Bombyx mori: one gene and its partners. The protein of the gene in region 3 binds, or shares a complex with, the protein of the main gene of each other region. Links are inferred from orthologs where the notes say so. Each region holds a gene or a part of one and is shown on either strand. Other genes may lie near its edges. The genes, in order: peptidyl-prolyl cis-trans isomerase H, U5 small nuclear ribonucleoprotein 200 kDa helicase, U5 small nuclear ribonucleoprotein 40 kDa protein, pre-mRNA-splicing factor CWC22 homolog, G-patch domain and KOW motifs-containing protein, U6 snRNA-associated Sm-like protein LSm2 and CD2 antigen cytoplasmic tail-binding protein 2 homolog.

Region 1 (3,564 bases), on a different chromosome or scaffold from region 3:
GTCGTCGCCGAACATACTGTGGAAGGGCAACCCGGTCGGCGGTTATCGTGTTCCGACCCGGCAGGCTGGTTCTGGCCCAGCGGGGTATCCCGGAACACCAGCGGCATTGCCCGGGCGACCTGGTAGGGTCGCGGTACCGCGGAGACCGACGTCGTTGCGATAGTCGACGACCCGTCGGTCGGGCGTCCTCGGGGTGGCGCCGCGTGTCTGGTTGTAGTGTTGACCGCGGGAACCCCCCTACTACTGGGTTACCTGGTTTTGTTTGACCCAGGACGGAGATCGGACGTCGGATGTAAGAGTGCAGGGGAGACGTTTAATGGGTGGGGCCCTAAAATTCCTTGGGCCCGCGGTCGGCTCCCAACACCTTGCAGATCGTCAAGTCCCACATACCCCGTGCGCCCCCTAGGCACGGGACCTCGTAGGAGGTTCGGCCCCCGCCCGAAAATTATAATAATAATAATAAATGGTTAGGAATTGGACTTGGAAAAAATGAATGACTAAATATTAGAATCAGAAGGAGATTATTGTATGTCTGTATTTTAAACTATACTGATAACTATATAGATGTATATTTTGGAACTTTGCAATATTTATACTCTATTTATTATAATACTATATTTATATAATTAAACTTTATACTTTAAATTTCAAATATTTCATAATCAGACATAATTAAAATGATTACATAAAGTAACTAAGTTTTTTTGAAATCTAGATTAATTAACATAAAAAAGTAAACGAAATGAAACCGACCCAAAGTTTTAAGTTACACTGTGGTGGTTGTTGGCATTCACTTTGTAAGTATTCGTTCCGATGAAAACTTAATATCAGCCAAACATAAAACAATAAATAAATAAAACTGCAATAATATGTATACTTTTTTATCTATTCACTTGAATCGAAAATGAACATTCATCACATCCAATTATTACACTAGATTGCACAAAATTACTTTTATTAAGCACATACACCCCACCACATCTACAATCGTATAAATACACATTTTCATCACTGTCAAACACCATTTCAGACAGTCTTACTGTTTCATAAAGCAATAGATCACTATTTTCATGGCAACTTAATGTAGCATCATACTGTTTCCTGGTGCTAGGTTCTCTTAAAACTGACCAAGCTTTTTGTAATAGGCGAAACTTATTATCAGAATCATCAGTTTTATTTTTATCGGGATGTAATGTCAAAGCGAGTCGCTGATAACTTTTCTTCAATTCTTCAAGGCTTGCTGTTCTATCGCAATCTAGTATTTGATAATAATCAATAGGTAGGTCATTACTTTCCATATTTAATAAAAACTCGTAAAAGAGTTTTATTTATAAAAAATAGTTTACCTCTCTTTAATTCAATTGCTGTTCCCACTTCCCAGTCTTTGATTAGAATTTTTTTGTATTTTATTTATGGCCTGGCCCAGTCTTTGATTGATTGTTTGAAATTCATTCTTTATTGTATTATCTATAATTTGTTCATTGGACGGGCAAAAGGAGATAGACCATACAAATTTCAATACTCTTGTCACAAAACTGTAACCTTTAAATAAATATAAATATAATATATATAAATTTAAATGTATGTTAGGTAAGGGGAATAATGGAATTAAATTAATTGCTCATGGGATAAAATTTAAGGAAGTGAATTAAGAAAGACATCACCGTAGGTATTTGTTAGATAATAAATAAGGTTCCATTAAAACTTATAAGATAGGTATGGCGTTCAAATCTGAAGAAACGCACAATTTACGAAATACAATAATTTACACGACTTTGTCCTTCCCCGAAAAAAAGTCCCGCCCAATATACAATTGTTGACGAATAATACCATAGTCGTCTGTGATCACGAATACTTTATGTAGTTATTCTAAGCGTTAGAAATAATTGAAATTAAACGGTTAGGATAGTTTTATTATTATCTACGATTCGCCGAAATAGAAGAAACTGCTATAATCTTAAAATGTAACAAATTCGCTAAACGTGAAGTTTTGTCCTTTGAAGTCACCAGAAATTCCGTTTTTAGATCTGGACAAATAGGCTTGTAAGCTACCTAATGTCAAGGAAAGGATGTCAAAAGTATAACCTCAAAATTTGACAGCCGGGTAACAATAAACATCAAACAAACTAAAACTTATAGAAGTTTTAAATTGTTAACACAAATGTAATGTTGTTTTAGTAAAAATTTCAATATTAACACATTGAAATGCCTACTTGGAACCAAATACAGTCACAACTTAGGAATCCTAACAATCCAGTAGTGTTTTTCGACATTACTGTAGGAACAACGGTAAATACCTCCCCGAACTTATTGTTTTTTATTAGATTTAAAAGAACACACAAAAATTTATGTTTATAAAATATTTATGTTTATTTTAGGAAATAGGTCGTATGATATTCGAGTTATTCGCCGACGTAGTACCAAAAACTAGTGAGAACTTCAGAGAATTTTGTACCGGTGAATACAGGCGGGATGGTGTGCCCTTAGGTTACAAAGGAGCTACTTTTCACAGAGTAATAAAAGATTTTATGATTCAGGGTGGCGATTTCGTAAATGTACGTATTAAGTTTTGTTTATGATAAAACGATGCCTAACTGAACATGATGGAAGTTTATTAATATTTACTATTCATTTTAGGGAGACGGTACAGGCGTTATGAGCATATATGGTGGAAGCACTTTTGCAGATGAAAACTTTGGTTTGAAACATGACTCTCCAGGGTTATTGTCCATGGCAAATAGTGGTAAAGACACGAATGGCTGTCAGTTCTTTATCACATGTGCAAAATGTAATTTCTTAGACAATAAGCATGTAGTATTTGGTAGAGTTATAGATGGATTACTTGTCATGAGGAAAATAGAAAATGTACCAACAGGACCAAATAATAAACCTAAAATACCAGTAACAATATCTCAATGTGGACAAATGTAAATAAAACTTCACTTTAAATTTTATCTTTTTATTATCATTAAATCACAATGGCTCTGCCTCACATTTCTAACAGACTAATAGATAAAATATAATATTCACAAATTTTTACATAAAGTAATCACAATAAATACTCAATAATTATGTACACTGAATTGAACTAATTTTTTTGGTTTGCAATTAGTAAGCGTCAAGTTTTCAAAGTGTGATTGTTTATTAGTAACTTTCTAGGCTGCATTGTTGCCGGCCCATTGCGCCTTCCGACTTCTTTAATGAAAGCACCTTCCATTTGTCGAGCAACTTGGTCAAAAAACAAATTAGATAAATGTGAATGTATAGCTGATCTAAATTCGAATGTTATCTGGAAGTCCACAACACACGACTGCTGTTCTCTTTTTAGACCAGGACTGAATCTCCAAAGGGTCAACATATGGTGGAAGAGTCTTCCATCAGAACACTCTGCTTTTACCAAATGTGGTTTGACTAGCGTAACATTTGAAGTGTAGCTTTCATTGATAGGAGGAAAGCCAATGATCAAGTCCGCCTTCAGGTTTCCTGGTGTTTCTTTCAAAACTATAGACTTTTTGCACCACGGTAGGAATTTGTTGTAGCTTCCTACATCTGATACAACTTCAA
Region 2 (4,067 bases), on a different chromosome or scaffold from region 3:
ATTTTTGTTGATACCTACACTCATTAGAAAAATAATGATAAAAATATGTTGTTAAAATATAAAATTTCAGGTGGGCAACTTCAGCAAGCGTCTGTCCGCTTACAACATGAAGGTCTCCGAGTTGACCGGCGACCACCAGCTCACGAGGGAGCAGATCGAGGCCACGCAGCTCATCGTGTGCACTCCGGAGAAGTGGGACATCATCACCAGGAAGGGTTAGCATATCCATATATCTATATATATATATAAAATGAATTGTTGTTCGTTAGTCTCGCTAAAACTCGAGAACGGCTGGACCGATTTGGCTCTTACACTTAACACTTTCTTCCCTGTACAGCGGGCGGAAAACCGAACTTTCGGCGTAGGTAGGAGAAAAATATATATTAGCATTGTGCACTTCTATATATTCTCTATATTCTCTATAAGTGTGGAAATGTTCATACTGCTCCGTCCGCGCAATTTTCGTAAAAAGGGATACAAAGTTTTTGCTTCACGTATTAATATATAGATATCACACATATCACTCGCGAAAACTAAACGATGCATATTGAATTGGGAACATGGTTTATGCAATGAAGTAGGAAACCTATGGAAATGAAACGTCAACCAAAATTTCGTGCCAGTGTGACGTCATCTGGCCACAAAACATGGCGGCTTTAGTGCTGTACAAAAGATTTCAATGTTATCAGGTTTTATCGATAAACGTTCTTGGCTCATTTTATTTTAAATATTGTTGAGTATTATTTATTTGTAGAATTTATACTTTAATGGGAAGTAAGTAGGTATATTGTTATGTGCAAATATGATATGATTTAGATGGGTGAAATCTAAGACAAGTTCGTCCTTCGAATTTGCCAAGTAAACGATATGATGATTTTTAAAAGTTGCTACACTGATTTTATAAAGTTGTCGTTTGTCGCAAAACATAAAGATATGGCGTAGTTCAAAGCCATCAGCCCATTTCTAGCATGCTAAATGTTATCGTATTTTGAGTACGTGTTTTTCTTAGACTATTACAATCTATTTTAATTGTTTTGCTGACTCCAAAGTCCGTAAAACACTACCGCAGCGCACCCCAAGGAAGGTGCGCCGCACCATTTGAATCACTTTCACTTGAGAGTGATTCAAATTTTAAACTTATCAAGGGACCGCGTGAAAAAAAAACACCTACAGAACATTTATTCATTATTAAAAACGTCATTCCTTGTGACTTCCTCTCTAAAATCACTTAATTATTAAATATTTAACAAATTTACAATAGTGTTTTACTCACTGCGGAATAAAACTATTTTATTTAAATAGTTCCGAAGAGATTTTGTCGGTAGCCTTTTTCCCGAAATATCTAAACAGAATGTCTAAATATGTTTTGATGACATATTTTAAAGTGGTATTTATGATTAGTGTCATGATCAATAGATTCCGACCGAAAAATGGATTTTTCGGATGAGGGCTCCATAATGAATTTAAATACATATAGATAATAGTTTTAGGGCATCGACTTTCTTGAGATCCTATAAAATACGTTTTAATTATTATTTTTGTATGTTTTAAGCATGATAAATTATGAAATTTTATATAATCAATCATATTAAATCGATATCAAAGTCAATAAATAATGTACAACCCAAAACAGACGGCCGAACTGACGTGACAATGACATTTGGCGCGCTAAACATGGCGGATTTTCGGCCTCATTAGACGGAGACGGAGATATTTACGTATATTCATGTTTCATTTTATGTACGCACTGAAATACTGTTATATTGTTTTCCTGCGAGTTAAAGTGCTGAGTAAGAACGAGATAGATATATGTTTATGTGTGTGCCTTCAAAATGGGTGCTATTTATATAAGCAATTGTACGTATAGAACAATATGTCGTGTCCCTACTATATAGGTCTATGGGTTTATGTCACAAATATCATTCGAGTTGCAGTATAGACATCTGTCATTTCCTATAATGTCAGCTCATCCGCTGTCAGTAATAATAATAATGTCACTCGCGTAGACAAAACACGCGCGGTCGTTATTGACACTCTGTTTGTCTGCGCAGGCGGTGAGCGCTCCTTCACGAACCTGGTCCGGCTTATAATCATAGACGAGGTCCACTTGTTGCACGACGAGCGCGGGCCCGTGCTGGAGGCGCTGGTGGCGCGGACCCTGCGGACGGTCGAGCAGACTCGGGAGGAGGTAACGTGTTACTACTACCATTACTATTATTACTACCACTATCGCACTACTACTACCATCACCAGTACTACTACTACTACCACCTCCTCTATTACAACTACTACTACCACCACAACCACTACTGCTACCACCACCGTTACTACTACTACTACCACCACTACCATCACTACCATCACTACCCCCACCACCACTCCCACTACCTCTATTAGTACTACTAATACTACTACTACCACCACCACTACCCTATCGTCAATCCTCCGTGGGCTACGTCTCCACACATCCGTCGCAGCGTGTTCCAGGGAGAGATTATTGCATTTTATTACTATATAAACATTTAAACTCTAAATTTAGATTTTAGAATACCATAAAGAAAAAAGATAAATCGCATTTAATTCGGCGCGAGCTAATATTGCGTGTGCGCCCGCAGGTGCGGCTCGTGGGCCTATCCGCCACGCTGCCTAACTACACGGACGTGGCCACCTTCCTGCGCGTACGACCCGAGAAGGGACTCTTCTACTTCGACAACTCCTTCAGGTGGGCCTATGTAACGCAACGTAATGGTGTGGATGAATGCCTGAGTGAGAGAAAGATGGGAGATGTCGTGTTAGGAAGTAAGAAAGACTGCGAATGAATGCTGAACGCATAGTTTTATTTTTTAAGCGAAAGGAGGGTAGCTACCGGATAGGGACAACTTTTTTTTTATGACCTAGTAAATAACACCTTTAGGTCAAGTCCAAACACCACTAATCCTGCTACTTAATCCGTATACACAGCCCACTGAGCTTCTCTCTTCTACCTGTCTTCGCTTAGCTGGTATAGTCGAGGCTGTTAATATTTACTGGCGTCGGAAGGTATTACTAATAAAGTGTTGATGGAACAGACCGGTGGCCCTCGAGCAGCAGTACATCGGCGTGACGGAGAAGAAGGCTCTCAAGCGGTTCCAGGTGATGAACGACATCGTCTACGAGAAGGTGATGGAGCACGCAGGCAAGAACCAGGTAAGTAGACCCGGTAGACGACACCCTGGATGACTGGTGGTAGGACCTTTTGTGAGTCCGCGCGGGTATGCACCACCTATTTCTGCCGTGAAGCAGTAATGCGTTTCGGTTTGAAGGGCGGGGCACCCGTTGTAACTATAGTGAGACTTTAGAACTTATATCTCAAGGTGGGTGGCGCATTTACGTCGTAGATGTCTATGGGCTCCAGTAAGCAGTTCACACCAGGTGGGGGGCTGTAAACTCGTCCATCCAAATAAGCCAAAAAAATTGTGAGATGACAAATAGGCAAAGGAATTTAAGTGTCACTGTCATATAGTAAAAAAATAAGCCTTGGTTGTCTGTAAAGTCGATTTACGAACGATAGTTTATGTCATAACGGCAGGATATGCGAACTGCTAGCTTTGACGTCACGCGAGAAGAGAGATAAATGTATCACAAGTCAATGCTTATTCCGCCCTCTCGCTTGCACGTACAGGCTCAGGCGGAACGATTTATAAGACATGATCAGGCCAAAACATTTTTTTTAAAGATAATCAAATCAAAAGCGACTAATTATAACGTTGGGTTTAACATACAAAGGCAAAATCAAAAAGACAAAATCAAAACACAAAACGAATTTGAACCTTAGCTGTTAGTGATTAAGGTCGAAATTCGTTTGTTGAACGAATGGTACATACATAAATTTGTTTTAATTATTTTTAATTAATTACAGATATTAGTGTTCGTCCACTCGCGCAAGGAGACCGGGAAGACGGCGCGCGCGATCCGCGACATGTGCCTCGAGAAGGACACGCTTGGACACTTTTTGAGGTCGGGAATTTTTTTCTATTAAATCCGTAGCGAAGTCGTCATGGCCTAAAGATAAGACGTCCTGTGCATTC
Region 3 (4,828 bases):
AAGCCTCTGCCTACCTAATTATTGTATGAATACTGTATGATTTAGATGAGACATATATTTTGTGCAAGGTATACAACATTACTGTCACCTGGTATGGGGCATATAGGGAATAAATAAATTATAAAACTTAAGGTACTCACGGAGTTCTACAGCTCATTGTATATTTTAAGAATATTTGACAATAGCTAGGTTCATTTGATGCAGTTACCTTCAGTTCCGCTCTGAAGGTACAACTAGAAATATTACAAAAGAAGTCTGACTTCGCCCGGCAGTAGTTTCAACATTGGGGAGTCTACTAAGACAATGGCTATTAGGAAAATATAAATGTTAGAGTACTTTTTTTCAAGACGAGTGAACTACTAACCTTGGAGCCATCCTGAGACCATGCACATCTGAGCAGATTTTTCTCAAAGTTGTGTTGGTGGCCAGACATTAATTTGACACAGCGTTCTGTTGGTGCAAACGGTCTAACGTCCCAAATACGGAGTGTATTATCCATTGAATTGGACAGGAGATATGCACCATCCCATGACAATGATAATCCTGGAAACGAGTATTGCAACACAAGTTAGACATTGCCAGTCATTAAATGTATCAAACTCATATGATTTCTATTCACATATTTATTGCCGCACCTGGGTAGATGACTTCACGATCTACAAGTAAACTAAACAAGTAGTCTTAGTCATGAATTATTACTACTTATAAGGCTAGAGACATTCTAATAATAGCTGTTACATTTCTCTAAAATTACCTAATACCAGTTTGGGCTACCGAAGGCAGAATGGGTGAAGAAGTTTACAATACACCCGTCAACAAGTAACAACAGGGATTATAAAGAGAAATACATATGTATGCAACTACTACTACTGTACTGCATACCAATCAATCCATTCTCATTTCCTCATAAGATCAATATTTGTTAAATACATTGTATGGTAATCAGTATTTTAGTAGTTAACTAATAGACTGAAGTCATTACTGTCATCATATTGCCCTCACTCCACTCTAGATAAACTGTATCAATATTTTAATTTAATTTCTGGTTGCAGTATTATCACCTAATAAAAATCTAATTAATCAGAATCAATAAAGAATTACCAACCTGTAACCGTGTCTGTATGTCCTTTTATTTTCAAGGAAATCTGATTATTCCTTATATCCCACATTTTGATGACATTGTCCACACCGCTGGATAAAATTTTTTCAGCTGTATCATTGAAGAGTACACTTGTGACTGGATATGAACTGTCAAACGATGCAACTGGATTCCTTTTCCTTGCATCCCATAATTTTATGGTGTTATCATCTGAAGCTGAAACTAAGAGTTCTGGACCTCTTCTTGCTCCTGGATATAGAGATAACACGAGAAAGTTAGAATAGATTGTTACGTTGTCTAAACCAATTTTTTAATGGATGCCATGAATGAATTTACAGTTCTATTGTATCCACAGGCATTGAGATTTTAGATTGATGTTATCTGGTTTCAAACCATGGTTACGGATTATAGTTTCAATTTTAGGTCAATCCCACTTTATTTGGATCCAATCACTTTAAGGCTCTGAGAGTGCAAAGTAATGTTTAATTAAGTTACTGTTGTGTATTTGTACTACTAAAAAGCACTAGCATGAAAACCATTGTGTGTCAAAACTCAAACTATGAAACATACCTGAAACAGAGTTCACAAAGTTAGCGTGACCCTTTAACTTCTTGATTCTAGTCCCGGTGGGTACGTCCCATACTGCTACAGTATTGTCCGTAGCTCCAGTGTACAAATGTGAACCATCAGGTGAGAAGCAAAGCTGCATTATTGCTCCCGTGTGACCTTTCATCACCATCACATTCTCGCATTGACCATACACATTCCATATTACTGTGAAAATAAGAAATCAAAAATCATAATATTACTAAGTTGGACTTGTACAGCTTATAAGTTGTCAACATGACCCTGACATTGGTGGAAATTTTCAATGGTATAAACATTTATTTTGTATTTTTTTATATTAATGGTGGCTTAAGCTAAACAGTTTATATCAGCTATCATTTTGAGTATTGTATCATATTGTTCCCTACATTATAGGGCTCGTGTCACTAAAACCCCAGTACAGTGTGGCCCATGCCTGGGATATTGGTACTGGCAGTCATTCTTAATAATGCATATTAAATCAAACTGAAATGGATTTGGACTTCAGAGAAAATTTAAGACGCTGTAATATAATGTCTATGGTCTCCAATAATCACTTATACACTAGGTCAGATTTTACCTTGTTCACTCTTTTCAATTAAATTTAAAACCTACCTACTGTAATCTTATAATTTGTGTTATCAAATGTGTCAATTCTTCATTAACGTTTTGATAGTAGTATATTATTAGAGTGTGAATTTTAGAAACACTTTGCCAATTCAAAAGCTTTGTCATGATTTTGTTACTTACATATTTGTCTGTCAAAGCCTGCAGAAGCCAAATGTTTGCCTTCAGGATGAAATTTGCCTGTGAAAATTTCTCCTTGGTGTCCTTCCAACAACATAATTGGCGCATACAAGTTTGATGTTCGTGGAACCTAGAACGACAAGAATATAAAATACAAAACACAGGAATCTTGGAATCTTGTTGATCACTACAAATGTTGAAAAATAAATCTTAAAGTAAAAGCCGACTAAAATTCGTATTACCTTAAATTTTAACAAATATCAATCATGATTACCTAAGTACAGATTGTGTTTTTCTAAAAGTTTATTTTAGATGTTATGTTCCATTTCTAATAATTATAATTATGATCTCTTGATGCTTTCACCGTGGCGTTAGAGTTCTTAGCTTTTATAGACCGTACTATTGAGAAAATAAGTAAACTTTATTGAAAACAATACTCACAGATGAAGTAACAACTGCCTTTTCTCTGGTGCCGACTACTGAGATCTCATGCCGTACTCGCTTGGAGGGTACAAGAGACACATCCTCTGCTTTTCTTTTAGTTTCTATATCTGGCATTTTTTAAGATGTTTATTTACCTATTTGTTTTTATAGCTACAAACAGAAATACTAACCTTAAAAATGGTATAAGGACTGTTTAGCTTGTTTCATTTGTCAATTGTATAGGCAAAAGGAAAATAGCCAATATCGCCAAATTCTTTGTAACAAAAGACAAAGCTACCTTCTAAAAAGTTTTTTTTTTGTATACCTATTCAGATGAGAAGATGAGATAATGAGTCATTCAAAATGAAGAACTTAAAGTGTTTACTAGAGCCCATAGTCATCTACAATGTAAATGCCGCCATGCACCTTGAGATTTGAATTCTAATGTCCCAGTTTTTAAAGTACAATGGTTTTTTTTCGGGCCCGGGGCCGATCCTTCTAAGAGGTCCCCGCGCCTAAGAGGGCGTGAGATATGTGGAACTTTACGATCTGCAGGTTTTGGGAGCAGACCGCGGGCCCAAGGAGTTTTAGGGCCCTACCGCACTAAACGACTCCCTTGCACATTTACACCCAACGTCCGATCTCCGTCCGGGCTCAGAATCCGGACAATGTAGGGGGGGTTCCCGCGGTCAACACTATAACCAGACACGCGGCGCCCCTCCGAGGACCCCTGACCGACGGGTCGTCGAGACGGTAGTCGATGACCAATGACGCTGGTCTCCGCGGTACGGTGGCCCTACCTGGCCGCCCGGGCGATGCCGCTGGTGTTCTGGGATACTCTGCTTGGCCAAAACCAGCCTGATGGGTCAGAACGCGATACACCTCCGACCGCGTTGCTCTTCCACAGTATGTTCGGCGACGATAGTGACGACGACAATGCGGACCGCATTGCAGGCCGTAGTCGCTGACGTGTTGTCCCGTCCTCCTTGTGCCAGCGCGCTAGAGTGATGGTAGGTAGCGTGCGGCGCAGCCTCAACCCCCTCAGGTGAGGGAGTTGGCCCGGGGGAGGCCCCGTGACCATCACCGGGAGGAGACTGCCTCCTCAAAAATTCAATGGTTGTCCCAGCCTTCGAAATGAAACGTATTACTGCTTTATGGCAGAAATAGGCAGGGTGGTGCTACCTATCCGTGCAAACTCACAAGACGTCCTACCATCAGTAATTATGCAAATTATAATTTTGCGGGCTTTGTTCTTACTACACGATGTTATTCCTTTACCGTGGAAGTCAGTTTAGTTGATATGTACGTATTTCATTAGAAAAATTGGCACTTGCCTGCGCAATTCGAACATCGTTACATCGCTACATACGAATGCACCAAACGTCATATCCTTTAGGTCACGACGGCTATAAATCATTTGTTTAAGTTACAATTTTTTCACGTGTAGCCCCGATCGCTTTGTTTGTGTAATGAACTTTTAAAAGAGACGAGAACGCATTTTTTTTTTTTTATTGCTTAGATTGGTGGACGAGCTCACAGCCCACCTGATGTTAAGTGGTTACCGGAGCCCATAGACATCCACAACGTAAATGCGCCACCCACCTTGAGATACAAGTTCTAAGGTCTCAAGTATAGTAACGACGGCTGCCCCACCCTTCAAACCGAAACGCATTACTGCTTCACGACAGAAATAGGCAGGGCGGTGGTACCCACCCGCGCGGACTCACAAGAGGTCCTACCACCAGTAATTACAATTATAATTTTGCGGGTTTCATTTTTATTACACGATGTTATTCCTTCACCGTGTAAGTCAATCGTGAACATTTGTTGAGTACTTATTTCATTTGAAAAATTGGTACCCGCCTGCGGGATCCGAACACCGGTGTATCGCTCAACACGAATGCACCGGACGTCTTATACGTTAAGCCACGACGACTACAGCATACGCATACTTAAAACGAATAAAACGACGAA
Region 4 (4,605 bases), on a different chromosome or scaffold from region 3:
CAGCAGAGGGTAGTAGGAAGGAATGATGATGATGATGAAAAAGTATACTGAGTCTTATTAAGCGATTAATTTAAGCGACAATAATTTGAATGTTCTCTTTTCAAATATAAATAAATTTAAACAATAATTTTTTGTTAGAGTGAAAACACCGACAGAAATCTTCGATAACAATAAACTGTATTACGTTCCGTTTTAAACAGTGACCAGTATAGCTAACTATAAAAGAACAGTTTCGCAGTATATTAAATTGACGTCACATCTTACAATGCTGGCAGTGCTTATCGGAGCATAGCTGTAGTGTGGCTGCTTATGGCGTTGTTCTTGAAATCTTTCCGCTTTTCTTTGTGGGTGACGCATTTACGTTGTAAATGTTTTTTTTTTATGATTGAAAGATTACTGGTGGCCCGGAGGCCTTTCCAGCTTCACCAGGACAGGTGGGCGAGCAAAGGCTCAGCCAGGAGGGGTGGGATTTGCTAACAGCTACCCGAGCGCCTCCGAAGGAGACCTAACAACTCGAGAGCAATTGCTTCGCGAATGAATCTACTACCGGATCGGAATCGCGACCCACTGAGAAGATCCGGTGAGAAACTCAGCGAGCTGATGCATGGGTTAGGTTGCACGTCGACCTCTTTGTCGAGTTCGACGAGTACGGTTACCGGGGTTCCTCAGCCTGCTCCTAGTGTTAGAGCTGAAGGTATCTAATGTAAGAGTTATTGGATCTGATGGATCCGTAAGGACATGTCTAGGGCGACGACGGTGACTTGCTCCTGCGTGATCAGGATTCGGGGAGTAATCAGCGGCGGCAACGATAAGGCGATTATCATGACGTGTCTATGGGCTCCGACGACACGAGAACCCTCTCAACGTGGCCGCCGATAACTACATTGCCGATCTTGCGGACCAAATGGTAAACATTCGACGTCACCCAAAATACGTCATCTCGGATCCTCCTGATCCACTAACGGTGCTTTTAGGTACCCCAAGCACCGGTCATCGTTCTCGTCAAGCCCCTCGCTTGCGACGAAGGACTGGGTGAATAAATTAACCCACAGACACAGCCCACTGAGTTTGTCGCCAGATCTTTTCGGTGGGTCGTGTTTCCGATCCGGTGGTAGATTCTGCGCAGCACTGCTCTTGCTAGGGTTCGTGTTAGCAACATCGTCAGGTTTGAGCAACGTGAGCTCACCTACTAGCCTGGTGACGCTGATATGATCTCTCTAGAACATCAGCTTAGGTAGGAAAAAAAAATCTTTGCTGCAAACATTAGGATTATCCATTAAATTAGCACCTAACAGCGCCGAGAGTGGATAATCTAAAAAAGTTAACTGAATTTGTCCAAATACATAAACACCATTTTACTGATATTATATTTCATCTCATATCATTTCGTTTCATTTAATGTCATCTCAAATCTCAATTGATTAATGTCGCAAAAACAACTTCATTTAAATTTTTTTAAACAATACTTTACTTTATTAGGCCGTATAGTATGATACCTTCACCTTTTCAGTTGGAAAACGGAGTTACTACTACTCTACTACTACTGACATGACAGTAAAATAAAAATGTCAAAACAAAATGGCTGTTTTATTAAGGTCAAGCTGGATTTTACTTAGTGCACGTTCTACTTTTTCATCGAAATAAATTTCATGATTTTACACATAATATTGAAAATGAATAGTTTTAATAATATTGAGTTCTAGATACAGTATTAAATTCTTTTATAAAAAGTTCAATTGTAGTCTAGTAGTGTCAAAACAAAAATCATAAGAATGGAGAAGACTAACACCAAGCAGAAGAAAGATAAATACGAGGAAGATGATGAAAGGCGTAGGTCGAAAAGGTCGAGACGGGCTAGATCTAGATCTAAGTCACTTGAGGAACAGCAGAATAGGGAGTATAGAAGTAAACGCCGGCGTTCCAAATCACGCTCACCTCATTACAAGGCTAGGGAAGATAAACGAGTTAAAGACACACAAAAAGAGCCAGAAACAAAAAAAGATGCCTCTACAAAGCCAGAAAGACGCGCAAAAGATACTGATATGTTGAATACTAGAACAGGAGGTGCATACATTCCACCAGCAAGACTGAGGATGATGCAAGCGCAGATCACGGATAAGTCCTCGATAGCTTACCAAAGACTTGCCTGGGAAGCTCTCAAAAAGTCAATTCACGGTCACATCAACAAAATTAATGTCGGTAACATAGGTATCATTATAAAGGAATTATTGAAAGAAAACATTGTCAGAGGTCGAGGTTTGTTATGCCGTTCTGTTATTCAAGCCCAGGCAGCCTCGCCAACATTCACTAATGTATACGCGGCTCTAGTATCAGCAGTCAATTCACGTTTTCCTAATATCGGGGAGTTGTTACTGAAAAGATTAGTGATTCAATTCAAAAGAGGTTTTAAACGCAATGATAAGTCAATTTGCATTTCCTCTGCATCTTTCATTGCACATTTAGTGAATCAGAGAGTGGCACATGAAATTCTGGCTTTAGAACTTCTCACTTTACTAGTTGAATCACCAACAGATGATTCAGTTGAAGTTGCCATAGCATTCTTAAAGGAATGTGGCCAAAAATTGACTGAAGTATCATCTAAAGGTGTAAATGCAATTTTCGAGATGCTAAGGAACATTTTGCACGAAGGTCAGTTAGACAAAAGAGTTCAGTACATGATAGAAGTAATGTTCCAAGTTTGGAAGGATGGGTTCAAAGACCACCCGGCACTGATTGAAGAGTTGGAGCTCGTGCCTGAAGAAGAACAGTTCACACATCTATTGATGCTGGATGACGCTACAGATCCTCAAGATATCCTGAGTATGTTATATTCTATTAAACTATCCATAAAAAAATAAGCCATAAAACACTTAAGTAGATTATCTGTACAGTCTGTCAATTGAATTATTTGTTCCCCTAAGTTATTTAATAGCTATTGAGGGTATGCACAAGAGTTATTGTAACACTTAAAATGCTAAAAGTTTTGAGTGTATATAACACTCTAAACGAGTAAAGTTTTAATTTTTAATAGGATTAATCAAAAATTTTTATATATAGTTTACATAAAAATGCTTTTAGCTTATTTAAAAATGTAACTTAAACAATCTCAATTTTTTTTCATATACTTTTTGCTTTAAGTTTTAAGATAGTAGTACTCTGTGTTAGTGAATTCAATATCCATTATTTTAGCCTATTTTTATTTTCCATCGTATGTATTAACTCATTTATGCCCAACATTATTGAATGTTATAAACAATTTATCTTAATGCTCCATTTAAAACAAATGTAAAATAAGCAAATTAGTATAAAAGAATAAAAATAACAATTTTCCCAAATGCTTCAGATGTTTTCAAATTTGATGAAAAGTATGAAGAGAATGAACAGAAGTACAAGAATCTTTGCAAGGAAATACTTGGTTCTGATGCTGAGTCCGGTGATGAAGATGGTTCAGGAGAAAGCGGTAGTGAGGAATCTGATGAAGAAGATGAAGAACAACCAAAAAAAGAAATGACTATTATTGATAACACAGAAACAAACTTAGTGGCTCTGAGACGCACTATATACCTGACAATCAACTCCAGTTTAGATTTCGAAGAATGTGCTCATAAACTAATGAAGATGCAACTGAAACCAGGACAAGAAGTGGAACTATGCCACATGTTCTTAGACTGCTGTGCTGAGCAGAGAACATATGAGAAATTCTATGGCTTATTGGCCCAAAGGTTTTGCAACATCAACAGAATATACATCGGACCTTTCGAGGAAATTTTCAAAGATTCATATTCAACAGCACACAGGTTGGACACGAATAGACTCAGAAATGTCAGCAAGTTTTTCGCCCATCTGCTGTTTACAGATTCCATTAGTTGGGAATCTTTGGAATGTGTTAAATTGAACGAAGAAGACACAACTAGTTCTAGTCGGATATACATAAAGATTCTGTTTCAAGAACTGGCTGAATACATGGGACTAAAGAAACTGAATGACCGTCTACAAGATCCGTTCGTATTACTTTGTTTTGATGTTTTTTTAGTTTTATAATAATAAATAAACCCTCAATTTCAAATGGAAATATGACAAATGACAGTGGAAACTCTTTGAAAGGATAGCTCAGGGCACAGACAAGCGATTATATATTGCTGAGAGCAATGACAGTTGTTATGAGAGGTTCACAATAATGAATGTTGATTTTAACTACAATTGCTACATTGCTATGCTCATGGGTGTGATTTAATACTAGCTTTACCCTTTCTTTTGAGTTAGGAGATGGTTTCGGAACCAGTGAACAAAGTTTACGGCTTACCAAAAACTATCTTTATGGTTTAATCTTGCGAACTTTATTACTAGCGAACTGCCCTCGCTTTGCTTCGGAAACATTAAATTTTATTATTGATAGCTGAGCCCCGCGATGTTAACCGCGGTTATTGTCGTACCGCGGATGAAGCCGCGAGGCGAAGCTAGTCTAAAAAAAGTAACATAAGTTACTCCTTATATCATCAGCTACCTATCAGTAAAAGTCCCTGCAAAATCGGTCCAACCGTCCCAGAGATAAGCTGGAACAAACATACAGACAAAAATTGTAAAAAATGTTATTTTTACCGTATA
Region 5 (4,792 bases), on a different chromosome or scaffold from region 3:
TATTATAAACAATTATAATCAATATTAAGATCATCAACTATTTACTTAACGCTATCTTGTAAATTATCTTTTCCTATTGGAAACCCTTGTTTGACCATAGCTTTTACCCATGTTACGAGTATTTTTTCTATATCTTTGGTTAAATAACAACTTCTTCCCATTTTACGCATAATAGGTGTCTTTCACTTGACTTTATTTAATAAAGTTACTCGTGGAACTCCAAATTTCTTTGCCGCAGAAGCTGTCGGAACGCCCCCCCTCATATCCTGAACCAGGAAGGTCAAGTACTTGGGAGTCACCCTGGATGCATCCATGACATTCCACCCACATATAAAATCAGTCCGCGACCGTGCCGCTTTTATTCTCGGCAGACTACCCCATGATCTGTAAGCGGAGTAAAGTGTCCCTTCGGAACAAGGTGACACTTTACAAAGCTTACATAAGGCCGGTCATGACTTACGCGAGTGTGGTGTTTGCTCACGCGGCCCGTACACACATAGACACCCTCCAATCCCTACAATCTCGTTTTTGCAGGTTAGCAGTCGGAGCCCCGTGGTTCGTGAGGAACGTCGACTTACACGACGACTTGGACCTCGAACCGATCAAAAAATACATGAAGTCCGCGTCGGAACGTTACTTCGATAAGGCAATGCGTCATGATAATCGCCTTATCGTTGCCGCCGCTGACTACTCCCCGAATCCTGACCACGCAGGAGCCAGTCACCGTCGTCGCCCTAGACACCTCCTTACGGATCCAACAGATCCAATAACCCTTACATTAGACGCCTTCCGCTTTAACACTAGGAGTAGAGATCCCGGTAATGGTATTCGTCGAACTCTGCAAAGAGTTCAACCTAACCTAACGTGCAACCTAACCTAAGCATCAGCCCGTTGAGTTTCTCGCCGGATCTTCTCAGCGGGTCGCGATCCCGATCCGGTAGTAGATTCATTCGCGAAGCAGCTACTCTTGAGTTGTTAGGTCTCCCTTGGAGGCGCTCGGGTAGCTGTTAGCAAATCCCGTCCCTTCTGTCCTTGTGAAACTGGAAAGGCCTCAGGGCCACCAGTAAATCCTCAAACATATACATTCTTTTATGGCTTCTTCAATATTGGCTTCAGAGTATTGAAACATCCGACCCTTTACTGGTGGCATCGTGCTCGAAACTTAAGCTGAAATTAATTGATACTAATAGTTGACATCTAGTATACCCTAATAGTTGACACTGTCTTCGTTTAGTTAGACTAGTGTAAAATGAACGAAACTCAGATTGAAACTTTTGTTTTACAACATAAAGGCTGAATTTGAAGAAAATTAAGCTAACAAATTCAGTTCGATGTAACCCTAGTAGAAGACACACGTGTCATCTTTTAGGTTTTGATTCATTTTTGGTACTAATAGTAAACACCACTTAAAATTTGTACAAAAACAAACCAAAATAACAAGGAATTGGTCCTAATAAATCAATAATTTCATACATTTATAATATCGAAACCAACAGTAGCCAATAATTATAAATATAAGACAAAATCATACCTGTTAAAAGTCAGATGGCTTAAGGAATACGCTAAGAATTACGCGCAAAACGTCAACCTGCTCACATTGTTTGTTGTCAACTGATGCCAATTTGAAATTTGCTTCTAACACTGTACGCAAGCTTTTGAGAATGTATCATACATGGTACTAGGTGTCTAACATCAACAGCAATGTTATTTAAGTGTTTAGTTTCCTTATTAGAATTTTTTTTTTTTTAAAGTGTCATCTTTTAGTTCAATGTCCAGCATTAGTGCTTTTACCTTAATGCAGATTGAGTTTGGTAAAATTTTATAGTTAACATGGAAAGCTAAAATTTAAGTGTTAAGGTAGATGTGTAGAAGTTGATGTGAGGTACATACTCCCACATTTCAATTTTGGAGATCTTTTTTGGCATAAATTAGGAAGACTGTTTACCCAAAGTCCCATTTTTATTTTACATTTCCCCAGTTTTTCTTTGTTTGTTTTGTATTTGATTTTGGAATCATTTTTAGTATTTTCCTTAAAAAACAATGTAATCACTGTTCATGAGGGTGATATCGCGTGGAAAAGGGAAGATCCTACTATCTACAAGAACACAGGAGCCCCCTTTTTGTTGGTTAAAAATGCAGGCAAATTTCATCTCCATTCAAGCAAAATTGTTTCATAGAATTTATGACTGCAGCATTCTATGATCGTTTTCATAAGTGACATTACTAATATTAAGTCTGCAAGTCAGTTGATATCTAGTTTAAAGTAAATTAATATATTTGTTGTTTTTTACTGGTGGTAGGACCTCTTGTGAGTCCCCGCGGGTGTGTACCACCGCCCTGCCCATTTCTGCCGTTAAGCAGTAATGCGTTTCGGTTTGAAGGGTGGGGCAGGCGTTGTAACTATAATTAAGACCGTAGAACTTATATCTCAAGGTGGATGGCGCATTTACGTTGTATATGTCTCTGGTCTCCATTAACCACTTAACACCAGTTGGGCTGTGAGCTCATCCAACCATCTAAGCAATAAAAAAAAGAGCACATTTGATTTTAAAATGAAAACAATAAAATTTTAAAATGTTAACGTAGTTTTCTAAAGTATTTGATGTCATTTTACCCGACTACTTTGATAGATTTCTCCTCTACACATTCTATATAGTCCTTTTTTTCGTCTACGACTGGTTTTTCTGCTTTTTTCGTTTTCATGAAACCAAAAGATATTTTTTTGCCCTCCATTTTCGTTCTTATAGTTCTTATAAACTGCACAAATTTACTAAAACAGACAAGTAATTTTGCAAATGCATCACTTTTGATTTGATTCGCTCAAAATTATATTCGTTAATAACTTGAATTTATATGTTTTGGTTTGCTTCGCTTCGCATTGACCTTCACTTTATAATTTCAACGATGTCGATCAAATTTCTTGCTTTGAGTTTGACATAATATTGACATTTGACATCCAGTAAAGTATTAAATGGATAATCTATGGGTCAAAGATTGTATGGGCGTAGATCCCCTTGCTTTTCCTAATAAGGAAAAGTTGTACCAAAAAAAATCTATGGGTCATAGATTATACACAAAAAAAATTTAAGGGATTTTATGACCTGGTAACTAAGGCCTTTAAGTCATGTCTTATTTTAATTTATATTCTTATGTTTATGAAAAATGATAATATGGAGTGAAATGAAATGAAGATGATTAATTTGAGACATTAATCATTTGGGATGAAATGGTATGAAGTGATAAGAGATGATATGGGATGAAATATAATCTCAGTAAAATGGTGGTCATTTACTGAGACTTTTTCAGTGGACTTTTTGGAAGATCCCGAGAAGTTACGTTCAGCGGCTTTGTTTCATTTTCCCACATTTGTGCACTTTCACAGATACTAAACAGTTAATAAACCACCGTTATTACACATTGAAACCTGAAGAAACACTAATTAGACAAAATAAAAACAAATCACACAACTTCACTCTTCGCGTTCCCGCCAAAAAGTCAGACTAGATGATATCGCCGTTCTGCCCCATAGTTTATACACTTAATATTTGAGAATTTTGAGAGTTCTGCCTTTATCGTGTATGCCATAGATATTTGGGTATATACGACAAAGGGAAGATCTTCCACCGAGCGGATGATATTGCTCGGTAGACCGACGGTCCGAATGTTGTTGTTTGGAACTTGTATATATGCGCTTTATCTTGAAAATGTCGTAAGCGAGATTCAGGCATCTGTCAATTATCTTGCGTTGTATGATGGCTGCCCGCCACATCACTCCCCTCCGAGACTGGAGGTCGTGTCATTTTTTAGTTAGCGTTGTCCGTGCTGAGATTAGCTTGCAAGGGCCAGTGCTGCTCGAAGCCTGCGGTGAGTCGAGGCTGAGCTTGAATGCTGCGTGCGTGTCGCCAGTGCTGCTCGAAGTTTGCAGTGAGTCGAAACTGAGCTGAATGCTGCGTGATTGTCGCCAGTGCTGCTCGAAGTCTGCAGTGAGTCGAGACTGAGCTTGAACGTTGCGTGCGTGTCGTGCGTAGTCCATGTGATGCAGAGCTGCCACGCCGGAGATGTGTGACCCCAAGCGTTGATGATCCGGTCGTGGGCTGCGATGAACTGTAGCGGCGTGATGAAGCAGTGAAGTTGTGTGCCGTAGGACCAGGAAGCGCGGTGAGTCGGCTGCGATGGTCCTGTTGAGGCTGCGGTGCTGGCTTGCTGTGGGACGACTGTCAATGACGTTTTATTTGCGAGAATGCGGGGATTGTGGTAGCCGAAATTCTTGATGCGCTGATGATGAATCGTTGTATGATGGCTGCCCGCCACAGATAATATTCCTAAATTGGTGTATATATATATTTATATACATCAACTGTTGATGTATTTAAAAAATTGGTTGGGTAGCTTAGGTATGTTAATATCATCCCATTTCATTTCGTTTCGTTTTCATTTCATTTAATTTCATTTCATAATATCATTTTCATATAAAAAGTTACACATTAAAATTTAAATAAGACTTGACCTTATGGTCTTAGTTACCAGGTCATAAAATCCCTTAATAATAAATCATCTAGTCTGGGCTCCCTATCACTATTTTTTAAAATAATATTTATGGAATGGAAAAAAGCATAATTATAGTTAAAGCATGCATTTATGTTTAAAACCCAGTACACTATTTGTCAGTAGAATAAAAATAGACAAGTTCGTCAACAAAAAACTGCTTTCGTGTAACAAAAGGTGCTGGCAAAAAACTTAATGAAAAAAAAGGTGTGTGTGTGTGTGCAAGTCACATACGGGATAAGTGAAA
Region 6 (2,994 bases), on a different chromosome or scaffold from region 3:
TACCAGTAGGGTGTTTGATAAGTCCACATGGCTAAGTGTCAACACCAGTTTTTTCTGTGTTTTGATGTAATTAACAAAAAACTTGAAAAGTTAGACATTTCCGATTACTCTGTTTTCAATAACATTAAAATTTCTCTGAATTGTCTACTTATTTTCCTATCCTTTATTTATATATCCTTTACTCTATTTCATTTATAACTGCAGATGAGCGATTGGGCTCACAGTCTGCATGTGGTATTAAATATTTACTAGAGCCCATAATGAAATAAAAATCACTACAATACAATATAATACAATATATGTTTCATGAGATCAAGCTGTTGTACTTTTTATACATACATACAAACTTTTTATAAATAGTCTTAATTACATCTAAGAAGTTTACAGTTATAAAGTGTAATGAAGCTTCAGTGGGGTATCTAACTCATTATAATTTTTTTTTTATTGCTTAGGTGGGTGGACGAGCTCACAGTCCACCTGGTGTTAAGTTATTACTGGAGCCCATAGATATCTACAACGTTAATGCGCCACCCACTTTGAGACATAAGTTCTTAGGTCTCAAGTATAGTTACAGCGGCTGCCCCACCTTTCAAACCGAAACGCATTACTGCTTCACGGCAGAAATAAGCAGGGTGGTGGTAGCTACCCGCGCGGACTCTCAAGAGGTCCTACCACCAGTAAGAGGCTAAACAGCTAATTGGCGTTTTTAAAATATGGATTAGAGTAATTATATAGGATCTAGGTACTACAATTTGGTTTTTTCTTGAGAAATTGTAATGATCTTAGCAGACAGCTGGTTCCAGTGTAATCGCTTGTAATGTTGGTTTAGTGGTTGATTATTAGTTTACGTTACTACAGGTCGAAGTCAATGTTACTTAATGGCTTCCGGTTTTGGAGCGCAGTCACAACTCTCTCGTGTTTTCGGTATCTATAAAACTAAGGATCCTCTTTTTTTTTTCTAAATGACTATCTTGTTTAGAACTACACAACAATCGATTGCTAATACATGCACTTATATAAACGAATTACACAACATTCAGGAATATCAAATCAAAAAAGAAAACCTTTGTTCTTTTAGTTTTTAATTATATTCAATTAATGCGACTAATGCGTAAAAACTCACAATGTCGGCGATTTCATCTACAGATGCCATTTTGAAGTTTACGTTTGAGGTTATCTATCTGGTTTTAAGTCCGAGCAACAGTTTTTCGAAGAACTAAGTAAATGAGGTACTGATTGTTTGTGGACACATTACTCTCAGTGTTAAAATCGATTTAAAACAATAAAAAAACACAATTTTCTTTAAAAAATTAAACAACTCAACCAAGCTCAAACGGGATTAGCGGACGCTATAGATTATACATTTCGCTTTAAGGAATTTTATGACCTGGTAATTAAGATCTTTAAGTCATGTCTTATTTTAATTAATATTCTTATTTTTATGAAAAATGTTACAATTATGTAGTGAAATGACATGAAATGAAGATGATTAATTTTAGATATTAATCAACTGCGATGAAATTAAATTAAATTAGATGAGATGAGATGATATGAGATGACATATTCTCAGTAAAATGGTGGTCATTGACTGAGATTTTTTCAGTGGACTTTTTGGAGGATCTCGAGAAGCTATGTCCAGCGGCTTTATTTCATTTACCCACATTTGTACACTTTCACAGATATTAAACAGTCAATAAACCACCATTATCACATTAAATTAGATTACATTATTACATTTAAGCCTGAAGAAACACTAAATAGACAAAATAAAATAAATCACACAGCTTCACTCCTTACGTTCCCGCCAAAAAGTCCCGATTTGTTTTAAAAATTTAAGCACAGGTAACGAAAACGTAGTAAATGCAAGACATTGGAAATGAGATGGTGCTCCTGCACAAAACTAACAAAATTACGGAAAATACCGATTCACACCGCTACAAAAAGCTATTGGCATTGACATTTTATGATTTTGACTTTGAGTTTTAAATGACATTAATTGAAGAACCCAAGCCAAATTACTGTTTCAGCGCGTTTTCAAACAAACAAAACGAAAAATGTTGTTTTACTCGTTTTTCAAATCGTTAGTCGGTAAGGATGTAGTCGTCGAGCTGAAAAATGACCTCAGCATATGTGGGACGTTGCATTCTGTGGATCAATATCTCAATATAAAGCTTTCGGATATAAGCGTGATTGACTCTGAAAAGTATCCTCATATGTTATCAGTGAAAAATTGTTTTATAAGAGGCTCCGTGGTTCGATACGTACAACTGCCGGCTGATGAGGTAGACACCCAGCTTCTCCAGGATGCCGCTAGAAAGGAGGCGACCGTTTCAACAAGATAGAACTTAACCTAACCTACAACTTCAATTTAAAGTGTACATATTAATATAAGCTTAAGTTTCTTAATAAATCATTCTTATAATATAGTGTTTTAGTAGCGGTCTCCGGATATTCATTTCAGAAAAGAAAGTTTCCTTTGATCGAAAAATAACCTAGTTCTTCAGTTTTATGTAAGTTTTATACCAGAGTATGAAAGAATAATTTATCAATAAAAAACATCTATATTTTTACCATTCTCAAAAATGTATCACAGAAAAAAGTTTTTATTACCTTTCACATCAAACTATACTGATAATTATTAGACATAGCTGCATTCCTTAATACTTAAGCCTTTTTTCAAACCAGAATTGATTTAGATCTCTAGTGTACATAATTTGGATGTAAATATTTACAAAGCTGTTATTTTGGATTTTTAAGATATACTTTTTCTGAAGATGGCCATGTCATAGTTTTCCATAGGCAGAAGGGATTGTAAAAGCATCATTAAAATATGTTGCTTGCCAAACACTGAACCTTCCTGAAACCTGAACCTTTTAAACCTTCTCTGGACTTCACGAATAATTCAAGACCAAATTTAGCCAGATCGGTCTAGCCGTTCTCGAATTTTAGCGAGACTAATGAACAGCAATTCATTTATATATATATAACTAGATA
Region 7 (4,498 bases), on a different chromosome or scaffold from region 3:
TGTATCAAATCAAATTGTTGTTCTTGTTCATCTTCACTACTAGATTCATCACCAAGTCCTTTTTCATCGCTATGATGAATTTTATATTTATCCTCTGGTCTACCTTTTACTTTAACCCAGTCAATGTTATCAAGCCATCCATCACGAATTTCTTTTTCTTTTTTCCAATGGTAATGTCCTTGTGTATCAAAATGCCCTTCTTCAAGTTCTTCTTTCATGTTAAAAGGTGTTATTGTAATCTATAAAATAGTACTAATTAATGAAATTAATATTTTATTTGATAGTTATAAGTATTAATTAAGTTGTTAATATTAAATTAGCTGAATTATCCTCAAAAGCATTTTAAGTATTGTTTGGAAAAAGAAACATTTTTTAATTCTCACAACAATTTGAGTATTCTGATTAGGTTTTTGACTTATTCTACTCACTTCACCTTCCATTCCACCAGTTCCTTCCTCTTCACCTTCAATATCATTGGAGTTCATAACATTATTCTTCTCTTCTTCAGCACCACTATCTTCTTCGTCGGAATCCAAGGAATGTTTCTTGCCATCCTTCGTGGCCTTTTTTACTTCGTCTATTAATGCTTCGGAAGCGGGACGCTTTGACATTTTGGTAAAGTAACTAAAAGGAACAAATTTTAATTAAAAACATTAAAAAATATTTGGGTTTATCTAACAAAGACTTTAAACTATAGGCACATTCCTAAATTATCATTGAACACTAAGCAAAGTTTTACTCATCCTCACCCTAATAATATTTTGGGCGCCTTTTCTTGAATAGGTGAACTCAAATTGAGTGAATCAGATTCAACTAGGTTGGTACACGGTTGGTACCTCTTCTTAATTGTGATTGTGTGTCTGTTGCCGTGTGTTAGGTACGCTATCAATGAAATCAATGTTTTTATGTCTATCAAGGTATGGTCTCAAATCTCAATTATTAATTTTATTATGTGTATCAATGACTCGAATATTTAAGTGTATAATCTATGTCTATGACTACGATGTTTGGTTTTAGGACTTTTTGGCGGGAACGCGAGGGGTGAAGTTGTGTGATTTGTTTTATTTTGTCTATTTAGTGTTTCTTCGGGTTTAGATATGTAATAATGGTGGTTTATTAACTGTTTAATATGTGTGTAACTGTATTTTTCTTCTTCTTTACTTAGACATTTTTGTCCACTTTGAGATTTAATTGTTATATATCTGTGCAAAACCGACTTACTTATATTAAATTGCTTAGCTATTTCAACTAAAGACTTATTCCCAAATTCATAGTCTTCTATTGCTGTTTTTAATATTAAGGGATCATATCTCTTATAAAGCTTGCACTCTTTGATACATACACGCGAGGCATATCTAAAAATAGAAAACAATACGTAACTGATAATATAAATATAATTGCACTAATAATTAAATAAAAGTTTTAGACAAAAACATCATGAATAAATGAGATTCTTACCAACACGTTTAAAAAAGATTGTTATAACTACATAGACAACCCTACAATCCTGTACGTATTTATACTTAAGTCGTTCCCATTCAACTTATTGTCGTCCCAATTGACCTCCCTTTCATTGTTATTTGTAGCTCAGGTGACCCCATTAACCCCAAACATAACAATTTTAATATGTATTTTTAAATTATCAAAAAACATTAAAACCAATAACAATTGAGACTTACCGTTAATATATATGATGGCTCAAACACTAAATAAAGTTTTTATATCACAGTCGTCTTATATTATTATCAAATAATATATGCTGGCTTAACCATCAACTGGTGTTCGGTTGTAAAGGACCTAGGCCTACTTATTGACTCCAGCCTGAGTTGGCGAGCCCAGGTCATCTCCGTGTGTCAGTGAGTTACACTTACACTCCGTATGCTTTACCGCCTGAACAATATCCTTCCGCCCGAAACCAAGAGACAATGCTCGTTTAAACTTTGATCTTCCCCATGATCGACTATGGTGATGTGTGCTACTTTGACCTGAATGCAGATCTACTCAATAAACTTAACCGGCTTCTCAATAACTGCATTCGATTTATTTATAATCTTCGGAAATACGATCATGTATCTTCTCATCGCTCCCAACTCAAATTGCTCCCCATTCGACAACGCCGTAGCTTGCGTGCTCTCAGTACTCTTTACTCTTTGTTGCACTTCCCAAATCCACCTGAATACTTAGGGTTTGACTACAGCCAAAATCTTCGTTCATCTCACAATCTTCTTCTTCGCTGTTAGTTCGCAGGTAGTTCGGACTTTTTACATTCTTCCTTCACTATTCAATCTATTCTTCTATGGAATGCGCTCCCACTTAAAATAAGGTCGGCCAGAGTTTAAGACAAGGTTTCGAGTACTTAGAATCAATTAGATGACTCTGCTAAGAGTTAGCAGAGTCATCTAATTGATATTTATTTATATATACACATTTTTATATGTATATATTTATGTATATGTATTTATTTAACAAACAAACAACTGTCTGTACAAACTGTTTAAATAGCACTCGGGAGTTATTTTGCGAAAAAAAACTGTCACACTTTTGGATTAGAAAAAAATAGATGTTGCTTCAGCTGAAGCACTGTAGTGCGCTACCGAAGAATTACACAATCAACGTGAAAAAAGAGCAACCGGTTGGCGATGTATCGCATCCCGACCCGACAGCCTGGTTCTAGTCCAGCGGGGTATTCCGGGACTCCAGTCGCACTGTGTGGGTGGCCTGACGGGCTATCGTACCCAGACGGCTGACGGCTGTAGAGCATTCCGTCTCAAAGGCTCCGTCGACCGGACGTCCTCGGGGGAGCTGCGCTGTCTGTAGTGTTGACCGCGATAACCCCTTTACCTCACCCGGGTTCTGACCTGGAAGGGTATCAGACGATTGGGCGAGAGTGCAGGGGAGTTGTGTAGTGGGTATGGCCCTAAATTCTATCCTTTAGGCCCGCGGTACCGGCGAAGGCGGACTTTCGGCGCGGTATTGTGGGTTTCGTGGAGTCGTAGCGGTCAGTAAGCCCCCTCAACCGGGTAACCGTACGGATTCTACAGCGTTAAAAAAAAACAAAAAGAAGGCCCGCGGTTCACTCCCATACCCCATGCGCCCCTAGGGGCGGGGTATTCCTAGAAAGTTCGGCCCCCAGTCCAAAAAAAAAGATCAAGCACTTCAAACCGCATTTCGTCGACTTTCGCCAGGGAAACTGCTTAGCTGAGTGTTAAGCAACATACCTTGATAAAAAAGTCGTCGGGGCCTAAAGGATAAGACGTTCGGTGCATTCGTGTTGAGTGATGCATCGGTGTTCGAATCTCAGGTGGGTACCAATTTTTCTAATGAAATACATACTCAACTAATATTCTGGATTGACTTCCACGGTGAAGGAATAACTTATTTATTTATTTTATTTATTTATGTACACACAGAAAAAAAGACATAGTACAGAGTAATAGGAAAATTATGTACAAAGGCACTGCTTATTTCTTTAAGAAATCTCTTCCAGCAAACCTGCGAGAGGATAATGAGAATAATAATAAAAAGTGATAAGTGTGTGTAGAACAAATAATACATAACTAAAACAACAAATACAACATGAGAATTATAGTAATGCACTTACACATACCAAATATTGTTAAACTTGAGTACAAAATATTATAAGTCACAGTAACACTCGTATATACGAAGAGTATAGAACCATGATCACTCGGTTGATGAGAGATAAAATTGTTTGACCTTGTATTTAAAAACAGAAACAGACTTGCAAACTCGGATGTCAGCCGGCAACGAATTCCACAGTCTGACCGCGTGCACAGTAAAGGAGTGAGAATAGAAATTGGTTTTGTGAGAAGGGAATAACAAAACAGAACGTTGGTTGGACCTGCAGGGAGCATCAGGAGAACGAATGAAAGAGAATCGCTCACGTAAATATAAGGGAGAAGTGGGCTTATGTAGGATATTGAATAGGAGACATAATATTCGAGTATTCCTACGAAGGCGTATAGGGAGCCATTTAAGTTCTTTGCGAAAATGTGAAACATGATCGAATTTTCTGAGATTGTATATAAAACGGATACATAGATTTTGCATCCTCTCAAGCTTGTTTGAGAGCTCCTCAGTGGCATCCAAGTAGCAGGCATCGGCGTAATCAATTATGGGTAGAATGAGAGCTTGGACGAGAGATATTTTTGTATGCTGAGGTAAGAAGCCCTGCAGACATCTCAACGAGTGCAAGGCGAAGTGCACCTTCCTACTAATCTCAGCAACGTGAGAACTCCACGAAAGATGTCGATCCATACACCCAGGTTTTTAACTGAATCGGTTAGAGTTATTTGAGTCCCATCCAAATAAATTGGGGGGAGTATAGGATCGCTGAGTCTACTGCGCAATTGTTTACCCCCTATAATGATAGCCTGTGATTTTCCCGGATTAATGTGCAGACCGTAGGCTTTTGCCCATTCAGTGATAGACTTCAGATCACTGTTCATCGCAGCAATAGCCGATTCAACGTCAGGCT

Evidence for each region.
Region 1: U5 small nuclear ribonucleoprotein 40 kDa protein (region 3) and peptidyl-prolyl cis-trans isomerase H share a complex: the UniProt entries of both Homo sapiens proteins name them as parts of the U4/U6-U5 tri-snRNP complex. The link is inferred for Bombyx mori from reciprocal best matches to the Homo sapiens genes SNRNP40 and PPIH.
Region 2: U5 small nuclear ribonucleoprotein 40 kDa protein (region 3) and U5 small nuclear ribonucleoprotein 200 kDa helicase share a complex: the UniProt entries of both Homo sapiens proteins name them as parts of the U4/U6-U5 tri-snRNP complex. The link is inferred for Bombyx mori from reciprocal best matches to the Homo sapiens genes SNRNP40 and SNRNP200.
Region 4: U5 small nuclear ribonucleoprotein 40 kDa protein (region 3) and pre-mRNA-splicing factor CWC22 homolog share a complex: the UniProt entries of both Homo sapiens proteins name them as parts of the minor spliceosome. The link is inferred for Bombyx mori from reciprocal best matches to the Homo sapiens genes SNRNP40 and CWC22.
Region 5: U5 small nuclear ribonucleoprotein 40 kDa protein (region 3) and G-patch domain and KOW motifs-containing protein share a complex: the UniProt entries of both Homo sapiens proteins name them as parts of the minor spliceosome. The link is inferred for Bombyx mori from reciprocal best matches to the Homo sapiens genes SNRNP40 and GPKOW.
Region 6: U5 small nuclear ribonucleoprotein 40 kDa protein (region 3) and U6 snRNA-associated Sm-like protein LSm2 share a complex: the UniProt entries of both Homo sapiens proteins name them as parts of the U4/U6-U5 tri-snRNP complex. The link is inferred for Bombyx mori from reciprocal best matches to the Homo sapiens genes SNRNP40 and LSM2.
Region 7: U5 small nuclear ribonucleoprotein 40 kDa protein (region 3) and CD2 antigen cytoplasmic tail-binding protein 2 homolog share a complex: the UniProt entries of both Homo sapiens proteins name them as parts of the U5 snRNP complex. The link is inferred for Bombyx mori from reciprocal best matches to the Homo sapiens genes SNRNP40 and CD2BP2.

Annotation. Positions count from the first base shown.
Region 1 is NC_085116.1:6,471,609-6,475,172, forward strand, and holds peptidyl-prolyl cis-trans isomerase H, read left to right. Parts: upstream 1-1,865; 5' UTR 1,866-2,205; coding exon 2,206-2,289; intron 2,290-2,378; coding exon 2,379-2,555; intron 2,556-2,637; coding exon 2,638-2,931; 3' UTR 2,932-2,949; downstream 2,950-3,564. Other genes in the region: coenzyme Q-binding protein COQ10 homolog A, mitochondrial, read right to left, coding at 3,119-3,564. UniProt on the Homo sapiens protein: PPIase that catalyzes the cis-trans isomerization of proline imidic peptide bonds in oligopeptides and may therefore assist protein folding. Participates in pre-mRNA splicing.
Region 2 is NC_085130.1:11,205,401-11,209,467, forward strand, and holds part of U5 small nuclear ribonucleoprotein 200 kDa helicase, read left to right. Parts: intron 1-70; coding exon 71-215; intron 216-2,051; coding exon 2,052-2,188; intron 2,189-2,615; coding exon 2,616-2,722; intron 2,723-3,068; coding exon 3,069-3,186; intron 3,187-3,898; coding exon 3,899-3,996; intron 3,997-4,067. UniProt on the Homo sapiens protein: Catalyzes the ATP-dependent unwinding of U4/U6 RNA duplices, an essential step in the assembly of a catalytically active spliceosome. Plays a role in pre-mRNA splicing as a core component of precatalytic, catalytic and postcatalytic spliceosomal complexes.
Region 3 is NC_085109.1:1,114,622-1,119,449, reverse strand, and holds the start of U5 small nuclear ribonucleoprotein 40 kDa protein, read right to left. Parts: upstream 3,220-4,828; 5' UTR 2,990-3,219; coding exon 2,873-2,989; intron 2,562-2,872; coding exon 2,435-2,561; intron 1,874-2,434; coding exon 1,670-1,873; intron 1,349-1,669; coding exon 1,106-1,348; exon of another isoform or gene 544-1,105; coding exon 365-543; exon of another isoform or gene 1-364. UniProt on the Homo sapiens protein: Required for pre-mRNA splicing as component of the activated spliceosome. Component of the U5 small nuclear ribonucleoprotein (snRNP) complex and the U4/U6-U5 tri-snRNP complex, building blocks of the spliceosome.
Region 4 is NC_085110.1:1,337,713-1,342,317, reverse strand, and holds the start of pre-mRNA-splicing factor CWC22 homolog, read left to right. Parts: upstream 1-1,543; 5' UTR 1,544-1,772; coding exon 1,773-2,820; intron 2,821-3,343; coding exon 3,344-4,001; intron 4,002-4,605. UniProt on the Homo sapiens protein: Required for pre-mRNA splicing as component of the spliceosome. As a component of the minor spliceosome, involved in the splicing of U12-type introns in pre-mRNAs. Promotes exon-junction complex (EJC) assembly.
Region 5 is NC_085127.1:6,327,666-6,332,457, forward strand, and holds the start of G-patch domain and KOW motifs-containing protein, read right to left. Parts: upstream 3,041-4,792; 5' UTR 2,734-3,040; coding exon 2,615-2,733; intron 1-2,614. UniProt on the Homo sapiens protein: RNA-binding protein involved in pre-mRNA splicing. As a component of the minor spliceosome, involved in the splicing of U12-type introns in pre-mRNAs.
Region 6 is NC_085129.1:20,029,870-20,032,863, reverse strand, and holds U6 snRNA-associated Sm-like protein LSm2, read left to right. Parts: upstream 1-1,981; 5' UTR 1,982-2,054; coding exon 2,055-2,342; 3' UTR 2,343-2,422; downstream 2,423-2,994. Other genes in the region: protein suppressor of forked, read right to left, coding at 1,124-1,153. UniProt on the Homo sapiens protein: Plays a role in pre-mRNA splicing as component of the U4/U6-U5 tri-snRNP complex that is involved in spliceosome assembly, and as component of the precatalytic spliceosome (spliceosome B complex).
Region 7 is NC_085111.1:10,749,597-10,754,094, forward strand, and holds the start of CD2 antigen cytoplasmic tail-binding protein 2 homolog, read right to left. Parts: upstream 3,132-4,498; 5' UTR 1,680-3,131; intron 1,356-1,679; 5' UTR 1,222-1,355; intron 996-1,221; exon of another isoform or gene 750-995; intron 625-749; 5' UTR 612-624; coding exon 429-611; intron 240-428; coding exon 1-239. UniProt on the Homo sapiens protein: Involved in pre-mRNA splicing as component of the U5 snRNP complex that is involved in spliceosome assembly.